4 separate regions of the Mus musculus genome follow, and all the other regions are reported to be linked to region 3. Evidence: microRNA targets listed by miRTarBase, many of them from high-throughput screens and not tested one by one. Region 3 holds a microRNA gene; each other region holds the end of a gene's coding sequence.

What was found. Region 3 holds the annotated microRNA mmu-miR-467f (AUAUACACACACACACCUACA, at 2,228-2,248, shown strand). A microRNA usually pairs through its seed, bases 2 to 8, with sites in the 3' UTR of a target mRNA and lowers its output. Matches are read on the target gene's strand: a 7mer-m8 pairs with bases 2 to 8, a 7mer-A1 pairs with bases 2 to 7 and ends in A, and an 8mer does both.
Region 1: miRTarBase lists Dcaf17 as a target of mmu-miR-467f. Seed matches in the 3' UTR shown: 8mer at 1,700-1,707, 7mer-A1 at 2,881-2,887 and 7mer-A1 at 6,582-6,588.
Region 2: the mRNA of AI429214 is a reported target of mmu-miR-467f. The part of its 3' UTR that is shown has no 7-base or 8-base seed match.
Region 4: miRTarBase lists Fezf2 as a target of mmu-miR-467f. The part of its 3' UTR that is shown has no 7-base or 8-base seed match.

The regions. Positions count from the first base shown.
Region 1 is chr2:71,088,981-71,096,102 of GRCm38, forward strand. Dcaf17 (DDB1 and CUL4 associated factor 17) reads left to right here. Exons shown (of 14, transcript NM_001165980.1): 14 at 809-6,878. The coding sequence ends at 949. Among named protein-coding and RNA genes, the nearest start is that of Cybrd1, 26 kb to the right of the region's middle.
Region 2 is chr8:36,993,694-37,000,815 of GRCm38, reverse strand. It overlaps AI429214 (expressed sequence AI429214), which reads right to left. Exons shown (of 1, transcript NM_001039220.3): 1 at 5,283-7,122. The coding sequence starts at 7,116. The coding sequence ends at 6,235. The region is part of intron 2 of G630064G18Rik (RIKEN cDNA G630064G18 gene); the gene reads left to right. Among named protein-coding and RNA genes, the nearest start is that of AI429214, 3.7 kb to the right of the region's middle.
Region 3 is chr11:69,630,552-69,637,666 of GRCm38, reverse strand. It overlaps Mir467f (microRNA 467f), which reads left to right and starts at 2,148; the gene lies at 2,148-2,267. It overlaps Fxr2 (fragile X mental retardation, autosomal homolog 2), which reads right to left and starts at 4,696. Exons shown (of 17, transcript NM_011814.2): 1 at 4,269-4,696. The coding sequence starts at 4,349. It also overlaps the pseudogene Gm12308.
Region 4 is chr14:12,335,766-12,342,879 of GRCm38, reverse strand. Fezf2 (Fez family zinc finger 2) reads left to right here. Exons shown (of 5, transcript NM_080433.3): 5 at 122-988. The coding sequence ends at 384. Among named protein-coding and RNA genes, the nearest start is that of Gm24578, 5.4 kb to the right of the region's middle.

The DNA.
Region 1 (7,122 bases), not on the chromosome of region 3:
TTTAAAAATGAAATTATCTCCCATAGTTAGTTAAGGGGCAAGCAATGATTAAGCAAGTTGGGTTCTAGCACTTGGAAATATTTGTTCTTTCAAATATCAGCCCATCAGACTGTAGGTTCATTTCCCAGCACCACCTAAAATGAGTTGGTAGTGGCAGTGAAGAAGTTTCAAGAGTACTGGGGAGATGGTTCAGTTGCTGTGCAAATGTGAGAACTTTGGGTTTCGGACCCCAGAACCCACCACATAAATGCTGGCAGGTGTGTCAGCCCAACTTAGAAGTGAAGACAAGATCTCAGAGGCAAGATGACCAGACTAGCTAAATCCCTGAGTTCTGGGACCAAGGCATAAAGCAGAGAGGAACTGAGGAAGACATCTAACATCACTCTCTGGCCTGTCTACAACACACATGCACACACAGGTATCCACACACATGTGAGCATACTCACGTTCCACAGCACACACACAAAAGTAAAACAGAGAGCAGCATACTTGTGCCTAGGTCTTTTCCTCTCAGTAAGAACTTGAGAGGTAGGAACACTTGTACGTGCTCCTGCGTCAGACAGAAGTGCTGTTCTGACACTGAACTGCATAGCTAAGCCCCTAAGCCCAGAGCTCTTTCTATTCTCTACATTTTCTGTATTTTTCTGTTTTCTGTCTACATGCACATAAATAATGAAAAATCCATTTCTGACAAGTCTTCTGCATCGGTGTGCATATGTAGGGGCATAGGGTAGGTGCTATGGGATTTTGGTGACACTGTGAATATAATTGTGTGAAAAGCAGATCCCGTGTGACTGTTTTGTTACAGACATATAGCCATGAAGTCTACTTTGACAGAGATTTGGTGCTGCACATCGAACAGAAGCCCAACAGGGTCTTCAGCTGCTATGTTTACCAGATGGTCTGTGACCCTGGAGAAGAGGAGGAAGCTGTCAACAGAAGTGGTTAAGACAGTGAGTCATTGTAACTTGAGACTTGGTTAAAAAAACGAGCCTCAGTCAGCTGTAACTAGTCCTCATTATCTGCATGGAACATTCTGCAGCATTTTCCAGAACAAGTCTTGTGCTAGCTCCAAAGGACTAGGTTGAACTCTTACCACATATGGTAGAAAGGACTCCATCTTATGTAAAAGCTCCCTAGGATGCTGTCCCAAGAGACCAAGCATTTTGAAACATTTCCATTAGGTGCTAACGTGAATATAAAATGCTAGGGAACCGAGGACAGTTATCTAGGAGTCAAAGAGACATCATTGATGCAGGGATAACTAATTCTTAAAGACTACTATAAAGTTTTAATTAGTAAGGCTGGGAGAGAAAAACAAAAATAAAAATACTAAATATAGGAGCCAGGTATGGTGGAACACACTTGTAATATCAGTGCATGGCGGGTAGAGCAGAAAGATCAGGAGTTCCAAGCCAGTGCTATAGCCAGTTAGCAAATTCAAGGCCAGCTTGGTCTCCATGAGACCTGATCTAAAGACGTCAACAAAACATAAAGATATACTATATACTCTATACCAAACTTTACTTAAGGATTAGAAGTAGGATTTGTAATGTAAAATCATACTTTTGAGCCAAAAATTACCACAGCTTCTTTGTAAACAAAACAAACCAAAAGAAAAAAAAAAAAAAACATATCAATTCTAGTTTTTCAATTCATCAGTTCTTATGCGGTCTTATTGACTGTAGTCCGTTTGTGTGTGTATAAATACCAGTGCACTTGACTTTGTTTCTGAGGACATATTTGCATGTTTATGTGTATGTGGGTGTGCACATATTTGCAGATGTGCCTGCATGTGTGTGCATGTGCGTTTGGAGGCCAGATGTCAGCCAATGGTGTTCTCAAGAGCCACCTACCGTGTGTTTTCAGATAGGGTTTCACTAGGGCCTGCAGCTTACTGATACTGCTAGCCTGGTTGGCTGGTCAGGGATGCTGCTGTCTCTTTCCCAGCACTGGGACTAAAGGCATACTTACCATCATGCCCAGATACATACATGGGTGGGCATCAGACTCAGACTTTCATGCTTCTGTAGCAAGCATTTTACTGATAGAGCCATCTCCCTAGCATATGTGTTATAAAAGATTCCAGGCAAGTTTCAAATGAAAGCTTTTCTTCATTTGTACCCTGTTTAGCTTTTAATACAGCTAAAGATGTCTGTCTTATTTTCTATCTATTTGCTGAGTGGCTATGTTTATTTAGTGCTGTTTTCATATGTAAGCAAGAACATAAAGGGGCCTCTGGTAGGCCCCTTCTGTGCATTGCTGGCCCCTGGTGGCCTCTTCCTTGTAGCACAATTGAAACCAAGAGGAGTTCTTTCCTGCCTGGGAGTAACCTCATTAGCCAGAGGAAGATTTTGATTGTTCATGGAAGGAATGTTTTTCTTCTGTGTTAGAACAGATTTAAACATAACACTTGAATTCCAGTAATCACTTTCAGAATGTTAGTTAAAAGCAACCTGCGTGTAGGGAGAAACTGTTTCTTACAGTCCCTTTCTGAGAAACCCAGCTGCTCAGAATCTCCCCGGTCATCTCATTCTTCCAAGTCGTCCTCCAAAGAGAAATATAAAACAAGAAAAGAGCAGTCAGAGCAGGTAGTTCACACCTGTAATCCAGCACTCGGGGAGCTGCAGCAGGAGGATTGCTGCAAACTTAAGGCCAACTTGTACTATGTAGCAAAGCCTTGCTTTAAAGAAAACAAAACCCTTGATCTCAAAGGCAGAGGCAGGACAATGAAGAATTCCGTGTCAGCTTGGCATGTAATGAGTTCAGAGCCAGCCTGGACTGCATTGAGACTCTGCTTAATAAAGCATAGGAGAAGAGCAACAGGCCATACTTGATTCAAGTTTAAGGTTAAAATATGGAATTTTAACTTGGAAGATTTGTATAAAAATCTCTCCATTTTGTCCTGACCCCATGTTAAGAATGGTGTGAATTCCAGGCCAGTAAGTGGTGGCACACAACTTTAGTCCCAGCATTTAGTAGACAAAGACAGGTGGATCTCTGACTTCAAGGCCAGCCTGGTCTTCAGTGTGAGTTTCAGGACAACCAGGGCTACACAGAGAAACTTTGTCTGGGGTAATGGTAGAGAATGCCATGAATTCTCCAGTCAGACTTGAAAACCTGCAAAGATGTTTCTAGCTGATTATGATCAGCAGGACTAAGGAGAGAGGTGTTGGCTGTTTAAAAATCAAAGAACTAGTAACTAGTGTGTCTATTCAGTCAAGAAATAAAAGAAACCTAAAATCATCTTTTTATGCAAAGAAAAAAATTACAGGTTGACTATTCCTTATCTAAGATGCTTAGCACGAAAGTGTTTTGTAAGTGAAGTTTTCCTTGATTTTAGGATATTTGTGGGTACATTATAAAATCCTGAGAATGGGTCCAAGGTCTAAGCATGAAGTTCGTTTAATGTTTAATTTGTGTCTTGTATACATAACCTGAAGGTGCTTTTATGCAGTATCTTAACTGTACCTGTCCATGTTTTAACTGTGTCCCAGCACATTAGATCAGGTGTTGAATTTTGTAGTCATTACATCATGTTAGCACTAGTTTCAGTTTTTAGAGCATTTTTTATTTCTGGATTATGGATATTAATATGCATTGATGTTTTAGAACAAAGCAGAATGTATGTGAGCTAAAAAGAAATCCTTCCAAAGCTGGTCCTGTTCAGAATTGTCATCTGGAACACAGACGTAATTACCTCGTGAACAAGATAGTAACGTGTTAAAGTCTAATACTCACGTCTAGAGACTGAAGAACTCAGGCTTGGTTTATGATACTTAACATCTCTATTTAGTGTCTCTGAAGCTCGGAGAGCATTTTAGAGACAGCATCGTAATTACAGAGCAGTTAATAGTTACAGCGCCCAGCCCTATCTGACATTTACACCTTAGTGTTTGTTTTTGCTTTGTTGTTTGAGTGGTTTTTGTTTGGATAGTTTGTTTTCTGGGGTGTGTGTGTGTGTGTGTGTGTGTGTGTGTGTGTGTGTATTTAGATAAGGTCTTACTCTGCAGCTCTGACTGCCTTGCTACACTATGTAGATCAGGCTAGCCTCAAACTCACAGAACTCTGCCTGCTTCTACCTTTCATTGCTGGGATGTCTACCATACCTGACCCATTGACCAACAGGCTTGCACAACATGAGTGAGAAACAAATCCAAGAGCAGCAGCAGAGAGAAGAAGGGTGATGCTGTTTAGCTTGGAAGTTCATTTGCTCTGTACTTTGAGAGCATTTGGAACAGTGTGTCTTTAGACTTCAGTCTTAGCAAAGAGTCTTTCTAAGGTAGGAATTGAATTTCTTCTCCTTTGTCATTGCTATGTATGTATATACATGTGTGATAACAGAAACTCATATTCAGAAAGGCTGTTGAGACATTTCTTAGATACGTGGTAAGAAAAAGGAATGGGCTACTTCTAGTCTAACTATAATGTGACCACTAAGAAATTCCTAGTGTGAGCTGAGCCTAATGGCTCACATCTAAAATCCTAGCAACTGGGAGGCTGAAGCAGGAGGGTTGCCACAAGTTGGAGGCTAGCCTGGGTTGCATGCCTATAAGCCATACTGGGCTACACAGCCACTTTTAAACCCAGCTCCATCCAAGAGCTCTGACACCCACTTATGACCTCCACAAACACCCATACATACCTGTGTTCACACATTCACACACATACATACAAATATACACAACACACACACAGAGCAAAAGAGAGAGCCAGCTGTGCCCAGCTAACAGGATGAGATACAGCTGTTTAGTTTTGGCCAGTTGTGGCAGTTTATGGGAATGTGAACCACATGGTTGATACAAAAGATGCTGAAAGATGTTGAAGATAAGAAAAAAATGAAGAAAATTTAGATTCTGCTCATACCAAGAAGATGAGCTGGGAATGTAGCTTAGTGGTAGAGCACTTGGCTGTTGTGCATGAGGCCCTAGGTTCTGTTCCCAGTGCTGGAATAATAGCAGTAGCAACAACAAAGCCAACGTGTGCTTCCCAAAGGTCCGGCTGTCTCCTGTCTGCAGCTGCTCACTCCGGAGAGTTGCTTCTCAGCAAGGACAGACACTAAACTGAATGGAGTTGCTTCTGTATTCTCAGAGTGACACAGCAGGCTTATTGTTCTGCGGTATTTGTCACAACTCTGGGAGAAACAGAAAGCAAATCCTGTCACTGCTGCTATTGAACCAACAAGTGAGGAGATGGTTTTATTTTGTTTAAATAAAGATATTCCGGGCTGGTGAGATGGCTCAGCAGTTAAGAGCACCCGACTGCTCTTCCGAAGGTCCGGAGTTCAAATCCCAGCAACCACATGGTGGCTCACAACCATCCGTAACAAGATCTGACTACCTCTTCTGGAGTGTCTGAAGACAGCTACAGTGTACTTACATATAATAAATAATAAATAAATCTTTAAAAAAAAAGATATTCCATGGTTGTCCACCATTTGAGCAGCTTAGTAACCCTTCCTTATGTGTACTTACAAAAGGGGGGTGTTGTGTTTTTTCCCTTCCTCTCTCTGCACCCCTCTCCCTCTCCTCTTCCTCTTCCCTCTCTCTGGTCTTCCCCCCCTCTACCCCCCCCTGAAATCTTCTGTGCCGTCCAGGCTATGATGAGCCTCCATGCCCAGCTGTGAGTCTGAATGGCTTGTGTCTGCTGCTGACCTTGATACATGTAAAGTACTCCTGTTGAAAATAACCACTTGAGGTATAAATTGCCATTGTCTTTCCCCTTGTACACCCGGGGACGTGAGGCTTCTGCACACTGCCATAGCAGAACAGTGAGGACCTGGGAGCTGTTATTGAGTGTGAGGTGGTCTTTGTTTGTTTTGCATGGTCTGTATTCCGCCTAGTGCTGAGTAGTGAACATGGGCCTCTGTGCACACTAAGCAGTGCTTTTTACTACATCCCAGCACCTAGAAAGTTATGTGTGTGATAATTGAATTTCCATTTTTTTTGGACTAAACTTGCATAAGGCAAAGTTTATACATGAATTGACAGAAAGATGGTTCTTCATTTAATAATTGAATATAGTTCAAAAATGATAAGTTTGTAATGAAGTAAGCATTATTATCTACTCTTACTACAATTTAGCTTCTATTAAATAATTTTTGAGTGTTGGCAGATTATTGCCACAAGTAAAGGCCAGCCTGGGCAGCTTAGTATCACCCAGACCAGTAAGGACTATAAAGCAAGAGTCTATCAACAAAAGATAACAATGATGATAGTGAAGATTTTTGCAGTTTCTTTTCTTCCTTACCATGTTTGTTAACATTAAACATTTTAGAACCTAAAGAAAACCCAGGAGCTAGTTTCTGCTCCCTGTGGTTCTGTGGGTGTGATCTCTGTCTCACATGGAAAATAAATTGTATTTCAAGCAAAAGCTATAGTGGGACAGAACTTTCCTCATTGTGTTGAGAAGATTTTTAACATAGAGTAAACTTTATAAAATTAGGTTGTGTGTAACCAAATGCCACATAGGTTTCATTCTTTTATTACCAATTTTCAGTGCATTTCAAATAAGTCACCCAATACCTTACTTAAATTCTAAAAATGTATTTAATATTTACATGTAATGAAATACACATACATTGTATAATTTTGCTGAGTTTTTAATGATTGTGTAATCCAAATCCTTCTCAAAATTGAAAGCATTGGGTCATGCATTACCAGCGTATGCAGGCATCTCCTGTCACTCCATCACATTCCAGACCAAACTGCTTAGCACAGGACTGTGAAAGTCACCCATGCTGGAACATCACTCGTTCATTACGTTTTATTCCTGAATCTTTTATATGAATACACCAGTTTGTTTTCTGTCTCCCTATCGATGGGTTGTTTCTGCTATTTTTTTTCTTACTGTTATGAATAAAGCTGCTATGTTCACTTAGGTGTGTGTATACATATGTATATAGGTAATATGTATATATATTTGTCTTTATCTTGGATAGTTTCTAGGAATAAGCTAGAGTTTTGCTGTCTACAAGTAGGTGCATGTTTGACACACCAGACGTTCCCAGAGTTTTGCTCCACTTCCCAGGCCTGTCATGCCATATGAGATTTGCAGTTGTTCTTTATTTTTTTAACGTTTGCTCAGTAGTCTTTCTTCTTTTATCACTGATGGTGACTATGT
Region 2 (7,122 bases), not on the chromosome of region 3:
CCATGCAGGAGGGTATCTGACATTGAGACAGACCAGGTCACAACCCCGGGATGCTTTACATAGGTGTCTTGAGCTTGTGAGCTCATTTAATCCTATATACGTTCCAAAGCATCACCTCCAAAGAGTATTTACGTACGAATTGGGGAATTCCTTTTCACATACATTTTGGGACTCACAGTCAAGCTGTAACATGTGTAACTCTAAGCCTCATCATGAAATACCAAACTGTAAAACTATTAGTAGAAATCATACAGGAAAATTTTAATTCCTTAGACATGGTAATTGTTTCTTAAATGTAACACAAAGACATAACTTACAAAAAAAATGGTAAATTGGACTTCCTTAAAATTACTTGTTTTATGTATCAGATGGTGTGTGGGACTAGAGAGATAACCCACAAAATAAGAACCAATTTGTAAACCATATATATGAAAGTAATTTAATATCAAAATACATAAGTCCTACAACTCAAGAAAATTTATAAACAGCTCAGTTTTTAACTGATTAAAAGACTTGATCAGACAGCTCTTGATCAGACAGTTGTACAAATGATTACCAAGCAAATGAAAAGTTGTTCTGTAATACTGAATACTCAAACAGGAAAATCCAAATCTCAGAAAAATACCATTTCAAACCTATTGCAAATGGCTGTAATTTTTTGCGTGAAAAATAAGAAAAGGGCTTCCAATGAAGGGAAGAATTGGAGCACTTGAACATGACTGGGAAAAAAATATAAAATACAACTTTGTTTGTAAAAATCATTTCTCGGTTTCTAATAGAAGTTGAAGCTTGTGTTAGGAAGTGATCCCGCTAACTCTTTATACAAAGGCACCAACGACTTCATAGACATCTCACACTCAGAAGCTCATCTGATCCTGATTACAGCTTCTAGGTAGAGAAAAAACAAAATTAGAAACTGGTGGTTGAATAAACAAGTTCACAGCAGATATATTTGTGTTAATCAAAGACTGACAACAGTCCAAGTGTCATAGGCAATTAAACAGATAAACATACTGAGAACTATACCTACAAGAGATTATTTTTTAACAATTTTTATTATATATTTTCTTATTTTAATTTTTATTAGATATTTTCTTCATTTACATTTCAAATGCTATACCAAAAGTCCCCTATACCCTCCCCCAACCCTGCTCCCCTACCCACTCACTCCCACTTCTTGGCCCTGTCTATGTCTGCATGAACATAAACATAGAGGATATTTGTATGTGGTATTCTATTAGTTCTCCTGTACTATTTATTCAGCCATAGAATGAGCTGGGTTTCTATTTTGGCTCAGTTGGGAAGGGCTCACCAGAAGAATATAGCCAATAGGTTACATATGTAATTGTAACACTGAGTTTATTAGCATGCTCTCTTCTGCAAACAATGGTTCTCTGAGTACTAGACACACAGATAAGCCATTACCATCTCAATAAGTGAAAGTGAATGTCTCAGGAGAAACAGGGCCAGTGATGCAGTATGAATTTGATCAAAACACTTATTCTTCCTGTTTAATGACTAGTGAGATTTCCTAGAAAGACTGGAACTGTGGTCTGCTATTCATGGGTCATAGCGGCAGAACATCCATATTCACTCAAAAGAAATGGATCAAGACCAAGTGTGTGTGTGCGCGCGCGCGCATGCGCGCACACACACACACACACACACACACACACACACACACACACACACACACACACACTGGCTGCCTTTCTGTTTCTCTACTTCATTGTTTTGTGGTCCAGTCTGTTGAGTAGTGATACCCACCATAGTGATGGTTTGGCCCCCTCTGTTGTTTTGCTACATACAAATATCCTCTATGTCGACGTTCATGCAGACATAATCAGAAGTGTGCCTTAACGGTTCCCTAAGCATCACTCTAAACTGGGTGAAAAACCTACATTGCCCAGCTGGTCCCAGACCATTTCCTGCCCTGTGGCTTTGGAGCCTGTAGTGAGACAATACATTAGACAGAGCACAGTGTGGTGGTCTTGGGACTTAGAAAAGAAAAAGAAATAGGAAGTTCCTAGTACTCTTTTCAAGGACACACAGTTTCAGTGACCCAACTTCCACCCACTAGACCATTGTATAAAGGTTCTCTTAGCTTCCAATAGTATTACACGTTGAAGACAGAGCCCATAAGCAACACTTAGCCAAAGCACAAGACTATATACCAAAACACCTTTGGTGCTTATATTTGCACAAACAGTATTGGAATGGTATATAAAAAACAATTTAAGCATTACTGTTTAGGCCTTACACACTAGTGTTTCACATCAAAATTTTTATGGATTTAATGTGCAGAAATACTTCAGCCCTCCCTAATAAACTTTTACCCTTAAGTTCCCTGAATTCACTCCATCTCATGATCATATCTTGGTATGACTGGCTGTCCTAGATTCAAATCAGTGGCAGATATTTGCCTAGAAAGAGCAAAGATCTTGGAGGCAGCTGGTCCAGAATGGGATTGCACAGTAGCCATGGGGATAAGATCTGGCATACCAAACTTTTCCGTATCCCTTTGACTATTGGATCATGTAAACACAGTACATATTTAAAACTACAAAATTTATAGACAAAAATAAGCAATAAAGAACATGCTAGCTTTAAAAAAAGGCGTCAGGTAAGAAACTTGACCCATATTTGTACCTGTAAATTATACTGGCACAGAGAAAAGGAGAACGTGAGGGACAGCAAGTCCTGGAGAGAAGCTTGAATATAGCAGTCAGGAGAATAGAAAGATTATTCTAGGACAGATATAATAGAACTACTTCATAATGTCAATTGCTTTTAACTATTTTTGTAATGGAGGAGAATTGACTCAAGTTTTCTGTTTTAAGTTAACAGAATTACTTAAAATATTTGTGTGTTAGAAAAATAACCAAAAAAAAAATTGGGAATAGTATGAAGAGAAAAACAAGGGAGAAGATATGTAAATATCCTACGAAGAGCAGTGACAGTCAAAAGTACTGAAGAGAATCCATCTGAGACTGTTGAAGAAAAGCAGCTGCCTATTGAGATGAGGTTTTCCGGACTGATTGGCTAATAGAGTTTGACCTTTATTACGGGGAATTCTAAGTGGAGCAATGTTCAGAGTTTTGATTGTATAAAATGTGAATTTGCTGAGAGGCTGAAGATAAAGTATGATGTAATTTGGACCTCAACTGAAAAGTTATTATGTAGGTGGCAATGACTTTTTCCATTTTATTTAGGAATGACTAAGAAGATATTTTCCAGGAAAAAAGATCATTAATGCATAAATGAAGGCTTAGCTCAAAGACTAAAATCTTAACCATGATGGCTACAGAATCTCTTGAGCCGGGAATCCATCCCATAATCAGCCTCCAAACACTGACACCATTGCACACACTAGCAAGATTTTGCTGAAAGGACCCTGATATAACTGTTTCTTGCGAGGCTATGCCGGGGCCTAGCAAACACAGAAGTGGATGCTCACAGTCAGCTATTGGATGGATCACAGGGCCACCAATGGAGGAGCTAGAGAAAGTACCCAAGGAGCAAAGGGGGTCTGCAACCCTATAGGTGGAACAACAATATGAACTAACCAGTACCCCCCGGAGCTCATGTCTCTAGCTGCATATGTATCAGAAGATGACCAAGTTGGCCATCAGTGGAAAGAGAGGCCCATTGGTCTTGCAAACTTTATATGCCTCAGTACAGGGGAATGCCAGTGCCAAGAAGTGGGATTGGGGGTGAGGGAAGTGGGGGGTTTGGGGGACTTTTGGGGTAGCATTGGAAATGTAAATGAAGAAAATACCTAATTAAAAAAATAATGAAAAAAAAGAGCCATCGTTTGCAAATACAATTAACTTTCACTCAAATAATCTGATGTGTGGAAAACAGTCTCTGGGTAATGCCATCAATGCTAGCATTTTTATAGAAAAATAAATCATAAATATGAGCTATCAAGGAACATGTGATTTCCCCCCATTAATGGCAAACTGCTCTTCAAAAAATGATAGTTTGTTTGACCGAAAACTAGGACATAGAGAAGATTCATAAAATCATTATGACCAAAATGGATTGTTTATAACAATCCCGCATTGTTATATACAATATAGATACATATGTGTACGTTATATACAATACACACACGCACACACACACTGCTATATTGAAGCCCTCAGCTTCATCTTGTTTTCTTGCCAGCAATTAAACTCTTTATGTAGTATATATTCATATTCTTTATTTCGCTGTTTTATTCTTGCATGATTATCACACACACACACAAACATACTTTATTAATGGTCAGCATTTCTCAGAAGCTGCAATCAGTCTGCTTCTTTTCTCTCTCCTAGCTTCTAGAAGTTTGTCCCATCTCCGGCTTCAATGTCTAACTACATGCCAATGATTTCCCCACTAGTCTAGCCTCTAAACCTTTCCTGTTGACTCTACATATAAATAACCTGCTTCTTTATACTCTCAATGTATATGTCTCAAATACACCACACACTACTTAGATATAAAGAATTATATTCAATCACACCTTCAAATTCGCCATGTTGTAGTCTTCCTAGCTGTATTGTGTTTTATTATACAGAAATATAATAAGAACATCCATCAAAACCAGTTAGGGTAAGGAAAGGATTTGCTAAGCTTACAGAGTACCACCCATCATTTAGGGGTGACATGGTAGTAACTCCCAGCAACAACTTGAAAGCGGGAACTGAAGCAAAGACCATGGAGGAGTATTGCTTACTGACTTGTTTTTCCAATGGATTTCTTAGCTTGCTTCCTAACAACCCAGTACCTTGCCCCAGGGTGGCACCAGCCACAGTAGCCCAGGCCTTGATATAATCAAGAAGTATCCCACAGATATGGACATAGGCTAGTATGATAGAGGCAAGTGCTCAAGTGAGACTCCCTCTTCCTAAGTGGCTCTAGTTTGTGTCAGCTTAGATAGAAACCAGCACAATGACCCCTTGTCAGATTCTTGATTCTGACATAAACATTCCTGATAGGGTCTTTGTTTCCCTCTAAACCTTTAGAAGCCAGCTCTCCATCATCTGCCCCTCCCCAACATTCCTATGCTACAGGCTCTCCTACCTGGTCATTAAGCTCTGAGACTGCAAAGACCTTGCCTAGCACAAAGTTCTCAAGTCTTCCCACAAAAGCCACCCCCACACACCCAAGCCAAAACATGGTCACATCTGTCACAGCAATGCCCTACTCTCTGGTATCGATTTCTGGTACCAATTGGTTGGGTTTCTGTTACTGGGGTGGGGTGGAGTGTGTATGTGTGTTGAATAAGCAAAACTAGCTTAGAGAAGAAACAGTTTTATTTAGTTAATAGGTTATTGTAGGTCATAGAGGGATGCAGAGACAGGAAGTGAAGGCAGAAACTTTTGGGCAAGGACTAAACAGAACGCATGGGGAAATGTGACTTACTGGCTTGCTTTCCATATCTTGCTGAGCTTGCCATGTTACACAGCCTGAGACTACCTGACTAAGGATGGCAGTGGCACAAACCCTCCCGCCTCAATCATTAAGGAAGTAAATGCTCCCTCAGAAATGCCTGGAGACCGGTGGAGAAAGGCAATTTCTCAGTTGAGGTTTCCTCTCCACAAGTGACTCTAGTTTTTGTCAAGTTGACAGAAACTAAATAGAATTCTGTCTTAAGGAAATTACTATTCAGTCGAGTACACAGGTACACAAGTCAAAATCCTAGTGCCTTTTCAAAGTTAGTCTCCACAGCCTCTTTATCACCAAAACCAGCCCTCATCGCTGCTTCCTAACTATCTTATATCTGTTTACTTCTTTCTCTCTGTACTGTCCACCACCACTCCAAACTACCATCATTCATATGTGTGTGTGTGTATAGAGAGAATACCACACACACACACATATACATACATATATATATATATATATATATATATATATATATATATATATATATTCCCCTAGATTACAAAAGTTTTGCAATTTCTCCAATTGTCTTCCATAATGTGAAAAATCTATTGGATTTAATGATTTAGACTTCAGTGAAGGAAGCAGAAGTAAATCTTACATTAGTTTCTAAATTTCCTCTATATGAGATGGTAATTACTCAAATCCACACCAGGTACATGTATGCACAACACATGTTATCACTAATCACCAATAGTCACCATCCCCTGGTTGGGCATAGTACATATCATCATTAGTAGTCAGCACCTCCTATCTGGTTGGACGTGTGAGTTGAGAATCATTAAAAAGACTTGTACAGTCTTCCTACACCTGCTTTGAATATGCCCGCCCAAAGCCGGAGCTTCCCTTCAGCATTTTCTCAGTCAGTCGCTTCCAGATGATCCTAGGATCATCTGAAAGCCTGGGGAAGCCCTGATGTGCTTCTCCAACACGGGTGAGAAAGTCTGTGGTATGAAGGTGTTCATCTATTTTCTCTTGGAGTAGTAGTGACTGCAGTAAAGTTTTCCTTCGTCTCAGGAAGTCAGACTGAGCCAGCTCTGCTCTTTTGCTATTACAGCTGGGACACTGCGAAGAAATGTGTTGCGTAATCGCCCCTATGTACGCCAGAGTCGCTCTCGTGTTTTCCAAATAGATTCTGTTCCACAGTTCATCAGGGATCGTACAATTGAAAGCATCTACCTCTGAGGTCTCTGCAATCCATCTGAGCTGCAGCCTTTTGGGTCTGTTGCTTTTCTTAGCTCTTAAATCCTGTCTCTGGTGAATCAAGTTTACTTTTTTAGTACAAAAAGACTGCAGGGCATCCAGTTCTTCTGCGGATTCCTTAGGGATTTCTGGTGGGAGTCTACGGTCGGGTTGAGATCTTTCAGAATGAATTTCTTTGCTCTTGAGATGGTTGATCCACATTTCACTCAGCTTATTTTCATCCTTCTGTAAGAGTGAAAGTTCTGACTGCTCGTCTTGCTCTTCCGAACTTGTAGTCGGCGTTTTGGTCTCGACTGGGCTCTCAGAGGTGTGTGAATAGGATTGTAATTCTCCAGAGAAGCTGATGGAACCAGAACTCAGTACCTCATCTGCACAGGACCCGGGGAACTCTTCTGAAACTTGAGTAGCACAGACGTCCGTCTGGGCCGGGCCTCCGTGCTCTTCTTTTGAGTCCTCCGGCTTCTGAGCAGGTGGCCACCCCATTGTCTC
Region 3 (7,115 bases):
CCTGTTTATCTGGTGCTGACGGTGTTTTATGCATCTTTACCAACTGTACTACACTCTTAGTCCCACAGTTGCTTTTGATTAGTAAACATTAGTTTGTATTTGCGTTTTTTGATAGAAGTGGAGACAGTTTAGAGAGCTGTTAGTCCCAGGAGCTGAGAAGTAGGAGCAAGTGAATCTTTTTAAATTCACGACCAGCCTGGTCTATATCACAAGTTCAGGCTACCCAGAAATATATAGACAGTGTCTCATAGATAGGTGGATGGATAGAAAGAAATAATAAGTTGCCAGATAGACAGAGATAGAGAAGGAAGGAAGATAGATAAGAAGGAAGGAAGAAAGGAAAAATAATAGCTGCCAGGTGGTGGTTTTTTTAATCCCAACACGCAGAGGCAGGCAGATCTCTAACCAAGCCAGCATGGTCTACAGAGTGAGTTCCAGGACAGCCAGGGCTACAGAGAAACCCTATTCTGGAAGAAAAAAAAAAAAAAAAAAAAAAAAACACTAGATAGATTAGATAAGGGGGGTTTGGCTAGAATATAGTTCCGTGTGATGTGTGCCTAGCAAGTATAAAGCCCTGATTTCAATCCTCAACATCAAAAGCAGTAAGAAAGCCAGATGCTTCAAAAAAAAGGCTAACAATATTCAAGGACCAGCCCTAAGTACAGTAACTAGGATAGTGGCAGAGCTTAGGAGAAAATGTACCAATAATATTCTAGAGAATACAGAGTTCCCACCTCACAGACCTGGCCAGTCACCACTTACAAAACTATTCTTTCCTTATAATGAGAACATCTAACCCTGAATATTGCTTCAGATACGACCTGCTTTGGCTGTTTGGGGGGAGCCTGAGGCAGGAGGGTCTAAGAATTGGAGGTCAGCTTAGGCTACGTGCTAAGTTTCAGAGTAACCTGAGCTATCAAAGTATAAAAATCCTGTCTCTATATGGGGAGAAATGTTTTTAAAAATGAAAGAAGGGAGGAAGGGAAAGGGAAAGGAAGAAAGAAGGAAGAGATCGGAGGAGGGCTACCTGGCTGAGGATGTACTTCAGTGGAAGGCTAAGATGAGACCTCAAGTTCAAGGTTAGCCTTATCAACAAAGCAAGGCTATACAATAAGACCCCATCTTAACAGGTTGGTGGTGGCCTAAACCTTCCAAGGCCAGCCTAGCCTACAGAGTGAGTTCCAGGGCAACACAGGATATCCTGCCCCCCACCCCAAAAAAAAACAACAAAAGACAGAGGCAGGCGGGTTTCTGAGTTTGAGGCTAGCCTGGTCTACAGAATGAGTTACAGGACAGCCAGGGCTACACAGAAAAACCTTGTTTCAAAAAACAAACAAAAACAAAACAAAACACATTATGAAGCTGGGGTTGATGGTGTGCACCTGTAATCCCAGGTCTTAGGAAAGGCCACAGTAAACCAGGAGTCCAAGGTCATCCCGGGTTAAAAGCCCAAGCCACCTGAAACCACCTTAACAAAACACATCACATCCTGACAGAAAAGCCAAGTTTGATAGGATAATTCTAAAATAACTTAGACCTCAGATCTGATATTTACTGGCTCTAGAAAAATCACAGTAAAACAGTTTTGTGAGAGGAGAAAAGAATCTCCCCAAACGTAAAAGATCTAAAAAGTTAGTATCCCTTACTCACACCAAAGTTTGCTGAGTCATAAATATTAATCAGCAAGGTTTGAATAGGTAAGTATCTACATTACACTTAGGCAATGTCTTTAACTCAGTCATGGAGCAGAAAGTGCTGAAGTGGCCAGAATACAAAATCTACACTCAATATTTGGCTTTTATTAACTCTATACTATCAAAGAATCCTGTCCCTGCTTCCCTCAAATCTATCACTGCTCTGGCCCACAGAATAAAAGGATAAAAGAGAGACTTTCTGTTGGATACCCATATGTGTAACAGAATTCATGTCCCAGCCCAACCATGTCATACAGTTAATTGGAACTGAGCACTCATCTGTCCCAGCTGTGCATGGCTCCTGAGCTTCCTTAAACCAAATGCAAATATCTTATCTTGATCTCATACTCAATTTAAGAACCACTTTTCAAACTAAGAGTAGTTGTGGATGCTTTTAATCCCAGCACTCAACAAAGGCAGACCTATCCCACAGAGTTTGAGTTCAGGGCAGCCACGGCTACATAGAGAAATCCTGTACCCAGAAATCGAACGGGGGTGGGTGTGTGTGTAGGTGTGTGTGTGTGTATGTATGTATATACACACACACACCTACACACAGCTTTTTTGGAATTTTTAACATTTTGATGTTAGAAGGATACAGATGAAGACTAACATATCGAGGAAAAGAGAGCATAATAAAGAGTACTTTTTGGGTTTGTTTGGGTTGTTTTAGACTGGATTCCATTCCCCATGCTGGTTTTGAACTTCAACAATCCTACTTTAGCCTTCTAAGTACTAGGGTTAGAGTATGTACCACCATACCCAGCCTGAGGAGACTGTTTTAACAAAGGTAATACAAATGTGGGTGAAATAGATATTAAAACATTAATGTGTCCTCTCAGAAGCCAAAAGAATTAAAGACTTTTGCTACAGAAAACAGAAATGTTAGAGACACTGTTCTGGTCTGAAGAAAAAGTACCAAGAGTTAGGAAAGTGACAGAATCAGCTAGGAGCCTTCTTCAGCTATACACAGACTAGACAGGTAGACATCATCAAGGATACACAGGAATACAGAAATACCAAGCTAAAAAGACCGAGACTTAGTTGAGAAGCTGCATTAAAGCTAATAGGTATGTGCACCCATAGGCACTGGGTAAAGAACTTGATCAGAAAAGGGAAAAAAATGGCCTGGCCTTTATAATGGATAACTAGCATATCAGTTGAAGTGAGGGTAGGAACCATCTACAGGGGTAGGGCAAACCTAAGTCTTTTTTCAGCTACAAAAAAGATACAATTTCATAGTAGAGTCAGAGAAAGTTATTTCCAAGGGCATAAGAAAGTAGAAGTTCTACTAGGGTAGGGGGACAGACAACCTGAGGAAACCTGAAGAAAAAGGGGCTCTTCTCACCCATCTCATGCTATGGAAATTCCTCTTTCTCTCCAGGATGAAGAGTAAGAGAGGGACCAAACGTGTCCGGGACAATTCCACTCATAAAAGTCAAAAGATGTTCAGAACCCCACTGATCAGAAGAAGAAAATATCTGGGGCGTGGGATCCAGAATAGACTCAGGACAGATACAGAAGATGGGGTGGGTGGTGGATAGAAAGAAGGAAAAAACAAAAGTCTGGTCTGGCATGGTGGCTCAACCAGTAACGCCAGAGCTGTAATCCTAGGCTGAGGAAGAGTTCAAGTGCAGCCAGGGAGGGGATCTTGTCCCAACCACACCCCTTAAAAAAGTTCACAGGAATCAAATCTTAGGCAAAGAAAAAGCTGATTAAAGAAGCAATTCTGAAAGATACTTTTTTTCTTTCCAGAAGGATTGTCAACAAGCAGAAATCTGTTAGAATAAGAACTTGTTGAGATGGCCTTTGAGAGACAGTGAAGCTTAAACTTACCAAGAAGATAGAGGAATGACCTAAATATATCTAGAGTCAAAGAGATAAGCGTGAATCCATCCCTCATAGGTGATTTTGGAATATAGGTGTGGTGGGTGACAAACTTGTCCAACAAATCCACTTTATGGCTGGCTGATAAAAACCTGAGGCCAAAGATGCTAATGCTAAATAACACAGATGGGTTTTGACCATTTCTTGTCAGCCTGGGAACAGGAATTTAAGACCAAAAGTTGAGCAAATGGTCTAGAGCCAGTAGGCAGAAGGCTCCCTGAAGACCTAATGTGGGACAGTGGACCTTCCCAAGGGGGTCATGTAGGAAAAGAATGCGAATCCTCCATGTGCTTGGGCTGCAGGGGTGATGTGATTAAAAGCTGAAGTATCGCCTACACTAAAAAAAAAAAAAAAAAAAAAAAAAAAAAAAAAAAAAAAAAACAAGAAAAGTCGATTAGAAGCTAGGAAAAGGGCTTTCTCCAAAGGGACCCGGGGCTCCCATCCCCGCACAGGAATGACCTGATGGCCATGTTTTCAGCTGATAAAAGCAGGTGTAACAGCGAGCTCAAAATAAAAGCACGAGGGTTAACTCCCACGATCGCCACGGGAGGGTTTCGAGTGGGAACGTGGGTCGAAGGTTCTAAGGGTCAAGACCAAGCTCCAGAAACTCGATCCCGCTCCACTCTTCCCTGCCTCGGCTGGGGGAGGGGGCTAAGGAGGGTGGCCCGGGTCGACGCGCCGTCTCACCTTGTAGAAGGCCCCGTTGGAGCCCCGCACCTCGACGGGCAGTCCCGGCTCCACATCCCCCCCAGAGGCCAGGCCGCCCATGGCGCCGCCACCACCTCCGACTGGCCCGGCAGCAGCTGAAACAGAGCCCTGAGTGCGGGCCGGGCCGGGTCCCCGGCGTCTCCCTGGAGGAGGAGCCGGAGGGGGAGCCGCGGGGGGCGGGAGCCGGGCCGGCCCCACGGCGGCCCTGCTACAGCCGACGAGCAGGGGGCCGGGGCCGGGCCGCTCCCCGTCCGCCGCCGCCGCCGCTGCCTTGGTCTCCGCCACCGTGAGGGAAACGGCCGCCGCCGCCGCCGCCGCCTTCGTCACCTCAGCTTCCGCCCGCCGGCGCCCCCGCTGCTGCCTCGGTCCCGGGACCCGCCGCTGCCGCTCCACGGCCTCCACCTCCCCCTGCTGCCGCCGCCTACTGCGCAGGCGCACAGGGCACCCGCCCGCCGCGCGCGGAGCCGGAGGGCCAAGGCGCAGGCGTCTAGGCTAGCGACCCAGCTCCCGCTCGCCAGCGCGTCAGGGCTTCCACATTCTCTTGCACTCTCTCACGCCCCCTCCTGGTCGCCTCTCTGCGCTTGCGCAGAACGAGGCGAACGCTCTCTGTACCACTCCAACCTTCCACTGTCCCTGTCCCTTCCTTTCCCCGCCCCACAACACTGGAAGCAAACCAATCAAAGGGAGAGGGGGGCCGCGCTCGCTGCATCGGATTGGACTTCCGCCTCCACAAAGTGAGCCCCATGGAGCCTGGGCAATTTAGGGATGGGCATGCGCCCGAATGACTGCTTGGTCACTTTCACCACCTTTGTCTTTCTTGGTGCGCACACTCCAAAAAGGGGGGGGGGGGGGGAACCAAAAGGCAAAAACTGCCCAGTGCGCAGGCGCTGGGCTTTGGTGTCCATGCGCATGTGTTGACTCTCTGCATCCATAGGAGAATCAAGAGTCACTGTTGTTGGCTTAAGTAGACTTTTTTTTTTTTTTTTTTTTTTTTTTTTTTTAAGTTTTGTGAGACAGGGTCTCTTGTGTCCTAGGCTGACCATGAACTAACTAGGTAGTGGGGGAATGACCTTGAATAGGTCCTCCAACCTCCACCTCCCAAGTGCAAAAATTACAGCCATGTCATTACCATGCTTGCCCTAAGTTGACTAGTATTCTAGTAAATTTAGTGCCGTATGAAAAACAAAATGCCACATAACTTGATGCATAAATTCTGAGGGGATTCAATACAGGAAAAACTGTCATGGAGTAACAAAAGAGAGAGAGAGAGATGGCTCGAATACGAAGCTTAACGGGAATTGTATTCCTAGACCACAAAATGGAAGGAGATATCCTCCTGCAAGTTGTCTCCTGAACATCATACATATAACATCACTCGTGGTCACCCACACGTATAACAGATTTTTTTTTTTTTTTTGTAAAAATAAGGGGTGTGAGGTGGAGAGATGGCTCAGTGGTTAAGAGCACTGACTACTCTTCCAGAGGTATTGAGTTAAATTCCCAGCAACCCCATGGTGGCTCACAATCATCTATAATGGGAACTGGTACCCTATTCTGGTGTATTTGAAAACAGCAATAGTGTACTCATATACATTAAATAAATACTTAACAAAATAAAATAGGATCAGTGTTCAAACTACAGGTTGTGTCGTCAAGATTTAAGCTGCCACCACAATGATTGAGGCTGCTAACAACAACCTTCTTGGAAAGGAAGTCAGGGTTAAATGCAACACAGATGACACCATCAGAAACTTGAAGAACTTGATAGCGGCCCAATGGTACAGGAGTTTGAAGGACCACGTGTCTCTGGGAGATTATCAAATCCACAGTGGGATGAACCAGAGCTCTGTGACCAAGAAAGGGAGATTCCTCCTCCTCCCCCAGCCCTGCCTTCCTCTTCCACGTTCATTTGACACTGGTAATAGATTCTCATTTTAAACAATTCACATGAATTAAAATTTTGATGCTGAAAAAAAAAAAAAAGACCCAGACCCGAGGTTTTATTTTGTGTCTTGAGGTGTTTTGAAAACTCTGGCCCTTTCTGCCATATTCCCTTGCCGCCACCATGGTGCGAATGAATGTTCTGGCAGAGGCTTTCAAGAGCTTCCACAACACTGAGAAGAGAGGCAAACACCAGGTCCTCATCAGGCTGTGTTGTAAAGTCATTGTTCGGTTCTTCGATGGTGAAGCACGGCTACACTAGTGAATTCGAGGTCATTGATGATCACAGAGCTGGGAAGATCGTTGTGAACCTCACAGGAAGGTTGAACAAGCGTGGAGTTATAAGCCCTAGATTTGATGTTCGATTCAAAGACCTTGAGAAATAAATTGCAGAACGATCTGCTCCCATCGCAGCAATTTGGTTTCATTGTGCTGACAACCTCGGCTGGCATCATGGACCATGGAGAAGGGAGACGAAAACGTACAGGAGGGAAAAATCCTGGGGTTATTTTTTTAAATGTAAAGCATAAATAAAAAGCCTTCGTGGATTGTGGAGGAAAAAAAAGGAAAAAAAAAGAAAACTCTGGCTGGCCTGGAACTCAATATGTAGGCCAAGCTGGCCACAAACTCACAAAGACCCCTCACCTGCTCTGCCTTCCCAGTACTAGGATTAAAGTCAGATACCACAGGCCTGACACGTAATGCTGTTTAAATTATTTTTAAAGTTTCCTGGCATGGTGGCACATGCTTTTGATCCCAGCACTTGAGAGGCAGAGACAGGCAGATCTCTGCTGAGTTTCAGCTTGGTCTACACAGTGAGTTACAAGACAACCAGGACTATATAGAAAGACTCTGCCTAAATAAATAATAAAAAATATTTCTGTT
Region 4 (7,114 bases), not on the chromosome of region 3:
CATCGCCTTCTGAGCTACTGCAGGGACTGAGGGCTGGTGGTGCAGGGTTTGGGGGAGGTCTTATTCCACTACAAACCCCTACGTTTTTGTTTTTGTTGTTGTTGTTTTTGCTCTTCCGTAGGGAACTACAAGAATCACAAGCTCACCCACAGCGGCGAGAAGCAGTACAAATGCACTATCTGTAACAAGGCCTTCCATCAGGTCTACAATCTGACCTTCCACATGCACACCCACAACGACAAGAAGCCTTTCACGTGTGCCACTTGCGGCAAAGGTTTTTGCAGAAACTTTGACTTAAAGAAACATGTGCGCAAACTTCATGACAGCGTGGGTCCCACCGCCACCCCCTCAGCAAAGGACCTAGCCAGGACAGTTCAGAGCTGAGAGCTACTGCCTTGTCCGTTCTTCCTGCCCTGTACCAACCCAAGCAGATCTCACGTATAAACTTATTTCTAAAATTAAAAGAAAAAAAAACTATAGCAGAGAGGCTAAAATCTATTTATCGAAACCAGCATATTTTTGGGGAAATGTAAACGTGTCCTCGATGACCGGCACAAACGCGTGGCTCCCACCTTTGTACATTCAGGAAACGTATTTAAATCCAGTGCGCTGAAACATATTTAATTCCAGGCCTCCGCTTCTCCTCAGGCAGCCGGCTTTTAATCCCAGCCTGTCACCGTGAGCGCCCAGAAGAGCGTGATGCCCCTGCCATCTTCACTCAACCTTGTAATCTCTCCTGTACAAGCGAACACGGAATATTACATATATATGACTCAATAAATAGAACCATTAGTGCGCGTCTTCTTTTCCCCATCCCCTCGCCACGAGGTCAGCTCAACAAATCCAAAGAAGGAGGTGGAACTAAGCATTTATAGCTTTTCCTTTCCCAAATGTAACTTTCTTGGGACACCGGGGCCAAGCTAAGGTTAAACCGTACTCCTGGTATGCTGGTATATTAAAGCACCCAGGAGCATGGGCCGAAACACTTCCATCCGGCTCCATCAATAGCCCAAGGTTTGATTTGGTGACTGAGCAGATACTTGGGATTCTTATTTGGGTGAGAAAAAAATTTAAGGGTCAAAAGTGGCTGGATGCTGTGGAATGGCCTTTGGGTATCCCGAGCGTAACAGCATGCAATTTAGGAAAAAGGCTGGGGTTTAAGGAGCGCAACCCTGGTCCTAGCCTCCTCTGACAGAGACAGCTAGAGGCTGTCCAGCCTAGGCCGTGCTGTTGAGCTCTTGGTGTCCTTTGCCTGCACTTCAGGTCTGGGCTGGCTGATCGGTAAGCGGCACCCTGCCGCGGGAGGGCGCGCCCAGCTCCCGGAGCTGGCCGATGTGTCCTCCCTGGTCGTGATTACCACGCAGTTAGCCCACTTCCTCAATAGCTATCTCTGCCGCCGTGCACGCTGATGAAATGATCTCACGCTTGCTTTCTAAGTAATGACCCAAATTAAGAGAGAAAACAGAGACCCTTCAAACAGCATTACATTAATCATCTAATCATTCCCAGGAGGGGGCCGGCTGCCGCCGCCCCGTTTGATCCGAATCTAGATAATCAAGAGCTCGGATTACTGGCGCGTCGCGCCTGGCCTCCTCCCTCCACCCCCACCCCCTCCACACTTTTAATATCAGCGCGGTGATTCAGCCCACGTCTTCTGGAACATTGTTCTTCTACACCAGAGGAAACGCGGCGCGGGGCCCGGGAGTGCTCTTCCACGCAGCCTCCGAGTTGAGGGGGTGAGAACTGCTGAGCGCTGACCCCATCCGGATTTGCACCGCGGGTGGAGGCTATTTGGAGGGAAGGATGGTTACTGCAAAGGGCAATCCCAGGTAACTCTTGACAGTAACTAGTGAGGGTTAGCCCAACGCGTTGTATACAGTAGGCACTCATTACTGAGAGCGCCACTGACTTCCACCAGAGAGAGAGAGAGAGAGAGAGAGAGAGAGAGAGAGAGAGAGAGAGAGAGAGAGAGATCCTCTTATTTCTAGAGCTCTTTCCCAGGCAGGCACTCAACACCTTTACTGTGGCTTTAGCAACAATTTGCAAGCTGTGTGTGTGTGTGTGTGTGTGTGTGTGTGTGTGTGTGTGTGTGTGTGTGTGTGATTATTCCCACTCTGCAGAGAAAAAGTAGAGGCAGAGAGACCATCTAAATGACACGCCCAGAGTTTCCCGGCTACGAAGGGCAGAGCTCCAAAGTCCGGGCTTCTAAGAGACCATCGCTTCCTTCAGATTTCATTGATGGAAAGCAGTCTCAGGCTTGTGGCCTGGAGATGCTCCTGGCCAGGGTGGAAGATCTCTCCTGCTCACAGCCAAACCTTCTGTCCTGGGCCCCCTCCCAATCTGAAGACCCATTGCGTTGAGAAGGAGAATTGTCGATTTTGTTTGCACAGAGGACAGCGACAGCTTCCTCAGGCTGTCGCAGGGGTATTTTTAGTACCTCCGATTCAGAAATAGGAACGCGTACATTAGAATTCCATTTCCTGAAAGGAGAGCGTCCTCGTTTTTTTGTATTCCTCTCCTTCCTCCTCCCCCAAGTCTGGGAAGATGTAGCCAGGGGAGGGGGGCGAGGAAGCCAGAGGGGATTTAAATGCTATCTTGTTCTGGCTGCAGTTCCCTGAGGAGAGATCGGGACCCAAAGGAGCAGGCAGATTTAACTCTCTATGTATGCTATAAAACCCAGGCAACCCCGGAGGGGTGAGGAGGACAGGGCCAAAGAGAATAGGAACTTCCCTCTTGGAGGCTGCATGAGTTTGACAGGTCAATCCCTCCACTTCTCCATTTCTTCTCAAAGTATTTTATTAACTTTGCTTGACATTCTTAGACCCCACTCCGTTCTAGAACACCTGAGTACTCTATATCAGTCATTTCAATCAGCTTCCTCCTCCTCCTCCTCCTCCTCCTCCTCCTCCTCCTCCTGCTCCTGCTCCTCCTCCTCCTCCTCGTTTTCCTCCTCTTCCTTCTCTTCCTCCACCACCACTAGCACCATCTCCCAAGCATACCTTTTCAGGTGTGCTGCTTGGAGATCCTACCATGTCAAGCACATCTTAAAACACCTCAGGAAGATATTTATACAAAGGCGAATGCCGAGCTGCGGAGTGCGAAGGGAAGTGGCTTGTAGGAAATTACAGTCAAGTGCCCTTCTCTTAAGGAAATCTGTTCCATGGAAGAGGGAGCATGCCACCCAGAAGGCTAGCTTCTAACTATCAAGCAACAGAGCCCGGAGAAAGTCTTCTGTTGTAACTTTCCATGTAACTTTTTTACAAAAGGACCTCCCCCTCTTGCAAACTGAAAATATGCGCCTTCAGGTTGGCGGTTGTAAAGTACTAGGGGGTTGTTTCTTTGCAAACTCCAAAGTGAATAAAATCCAGCTCAGGTGGAGCTGATGGGGCTCCCCTGCTTGTCCCTGCTCCCAGGAAGTGGTGCTCTGACTAGGATGGACCTCTGCAGTTTCCCTCCTGTTCCCACCGCCTTGAGGTTGTTTCTCTTAACTTGATTGTTACTTAACCTCCACACTAGGCTCCTGCCAATCTTGCGCACCTGAGAAGGTGTTATTTCACATCTGAAGGTAATTGAAGATAAACAGTTCTTCCAAACCTAGGCAGCTTAGCTCTGCCTTCCTCCGGTTGGACACCATTCCCTGGTTGAAGAGGTCTGTTATCTTGGTGATGGAATCCAGGAAAGACTGCCTTCTCCTGGAAAGAGTCAGCACTTTCCACAGCCAGCACCGAGCTCCCTCCTTAACCACTGTAGCCTGCCTTCTCCTTAGCATCGTGCATGGAAATCGTGGGCGAAAGGCTCTGTTTTCTCTCGTTTTTTTTTTCCTCCATAATATTAAATTGTTTGCATGACTTGAAGTTTGCAATATCAATAAATGACTTAAACAAGGTAGTCATCCGCTGCATATTAATATTCTAACCTTGATTAAATTGAAGAGGCCACCCTGAAAAAATATTTTTTTTAAAAAAAATCAAATTGCGGGGGAAGGGAATCCTATCATAGACACAAAAAAGACTCCAATTATCTTTTCCCCTACAAGATGTTTGTTCTGTCCATGACTGCTCACACTTCAGCAATCTTGCCAGCAAGACTCAAAAAAAAAAAAAAAAAAAAAAGAAAGAAAGAAAGAAAAGAAAAAAGAAAAGGAAAAAAAGAGAAAAACCCTCCTTCCAAAGCCACAGCCTTGTACATAACAGATTGCACAGTCCTATTGCCTTAGGCGGGTTAGAGGTTCCTCTCTACAAAGAGCGACACAGAGAAGTGCCAGCATCCAGATACATTTTGGGGGGTACTCCGCATGCTCTTGCCTTGGCGGCAGAAATGGGTTTACATGGAGCCCCATTTTGCTATTTGGCTCACAGAAAGGTAGAGGGCTGCCTGAGCCAGACCCTAGAGTTAGAGCAGTAACAAGTCAGGTGAGCAGGCGGTAAATGGGCTGGAGGGAGGGGAGGGGGCAGGAAGAGAAGGGGGTGCTACCAAAGAGGGTACGGGAGTCTTGAGAAAACGCTGGGAAATAAATAACCTCAAGGCAGCTGCGTTGCCCTTTTCCCTGCACGTCCCTCTCAAACGTCTGAGCAACCAGTTTGCTCCCAGAAACATGTTAATTGCCAGCGGAGCTCATTAAGGCATGCACATGCAAAACACAGCGAGAAAGATTAACTGGACAAAAGCGTAGTAATGAACTGTCAACAATCGGGCCATCCACAGAACCAGCATCACTCAAGAACTCGGCATTTACAGGCAACAAAGGATTGTCTGGGACAGGAAGAAAAGACGACCTAGACTTTTGTTTAGTCAACACAATTGATTACAAATGAGAGATTAACAGGATAGCTTCAGATTTTTTTTAAAAAGAGGCAGAAAAGAAAAGTCCAATTAAGTCCACCGAATGTTAACTACATTGCGTTCCATGCCTAGCCCCAAAGAAATTCTCATTAAACCATCCCTGGCGATCCCTTTTGGAAAGTAATTTGTCTCCCTGATGGAGCAGAGAAAGAGAATCGTGTAAAAGAAAGCGTTAGTTCTTGGCACAATGAGCTTAGGAGACACACTAGAAAGAGCCAAAGGGGGAGTTAATGAGCAGCTGACAAACTACTTGGATTCAGGCCTAGAGAACAGCGATGAAAAGATGAAATTGGCCAACAACTATTCTTTATATCAAACATAAAAAGGCCAATCTGAAACGGGGCTGCTCAAAACTGGATGAAAGTAGCTCAAGAAAAGGGAGCCATGGCCAGGCCCCTTGCTGGACAGTGGACAGACAGTGTGAAGAACCCAACAGGCCAAGAGTTAGAAAAGTAGATGAAAAGCAGGCTCTCCACAGAGGACAGCCTCCCCATCTCAGACCTTTGCAGGTGCTGAGCTGAAACTCCTGCTGCCCATCCTACAGCCTGGAGATGTTCTAAGAGAGAAAGAAACGCATCAGGCCAACATTTGAGGGGAACCTCCCAAAGTTCTTTTAATTTGATAATTAGTTCCTGACATTTACCCTTTCTCTTTAATACCTCACTTGGCCTCTGGGGGGTACCATATGTTACCAACATATACTAAGGTGGTCTACTAGCCTTTCTTTCAGTAGCCATTCAAATTTCTCAACCCAATTCTGCGTTGGGGAAGAAGTGGCAAGAAAGGCAAGACTTTGTTCACACTTGGCTTGGTGGAATAGGGCATGGCGTATTTAAAATCTCATCCCTGTTTATCAGGCCTAAGAAATTGTTGTATTTTAATATGTCCTTGTTTGAACAAAGTAGGTCAAGATTATATATCTGAATAAGACAGGATACATGTGTTCACTAACTGTAAACATCCAGGCACTCCTTAGAGCAAGAATGTTTGAAGGTTCTTTAACACAGTGCTCAGCCAAGCCAGCACAGAATCCACAGGTGAGAAGGGGGTTTCAGAGTGGCTCAGCAGCCAAGCACCCCGGAACAAAGCCTGTGATTCCCATTTCTGATTAGGATGGGTGCCACCCCAGACAGTAGAGTCGAGCGTTTTGATTTTGAGTCTAGGTTTGTTACTTTTCCTCAGATCCTTGGTAACAGCTATCACATTTCTGAGGGCTTGGCTTGCACCTCGGGCTTTGCTCATGCTTCACAGAGAGAAATACATTGGTGTCTAGAAGTAAGGAAGGAAAAAGAAATACAGCAATTCAAAATAAAAACAGACATCTAAGATTAAAGACGACTCCTGGTTCTCAAAGCACAGAGGTGTTACCGAACCTAGAGAGGTGCTGGAGGAGAGGAAGAGCCCTGAGTTTCGTTGCTGCAGGCAGACCAGCTTTCTGGTAAACAGTGTTCTCTTTCTCTGAGCTGCAGATGTGACCAGCGATTGGTCCTTGAATCCTTCCTGTCTGATTTTTTTTTTTTTAATCCGAGGTCTTATTTGGAGCTTTTTGTCTTCAAGGAGTTTTACTTTTTACTGTGGCTCCTGAATGGTTGATTTTCTAGGGGAAGATGAGCCACTTGTAAGGAGAAATTACCCTATAGTGTTAGGAGCTATGGAACTGACATGGAAGTAAGCTGAGTTCAGATCCTGCCTTAGCTGCACAAGCTGATAAGGACTTTTATCTGTTTCTGTATCTGCAAAATGGGCATGTTGGGGGCTGCCAACGATGCTGGCCCCAGCATGGTGCCTGTGGGGAGAGAGAACTGAACCCTGCAAGTTGTCCTCTGACCTCCCCAACATACCCAAGTGCGTGTGAGTGTGTGCACACACACATTTGACACACAACTTTAAATGGACATGGTAAGAATACCTGTCTCCCAGGCGTGTGGTAAGGAGGGAATGATTAAACACAGAACTGGGTCTTCAGAACAGCAACTGGCAGGTGTGCACAATCATTCTAAAGACCCTACTACCAGAACTAATTCCAGTAGGAAAAGCCCAACATTTTATGAGAAAAACCACTGGAATTCTTGAGTTGATTCCTCCCTAGACATGTAGCTTCTTTAGTCTCTTGTTTGTTTATTAACTAATCTATTTCTGAAGATCAAACACAGGGCCTTGGGCACACCATACTTCTTCACCCCATCTTCAAGGACAGCAAGCTGAGGTGCTGGCCAAGTATAACCGTACCCACCTTTCATCTACAGAACAGGAACTCAATGGAGAGGAAAGT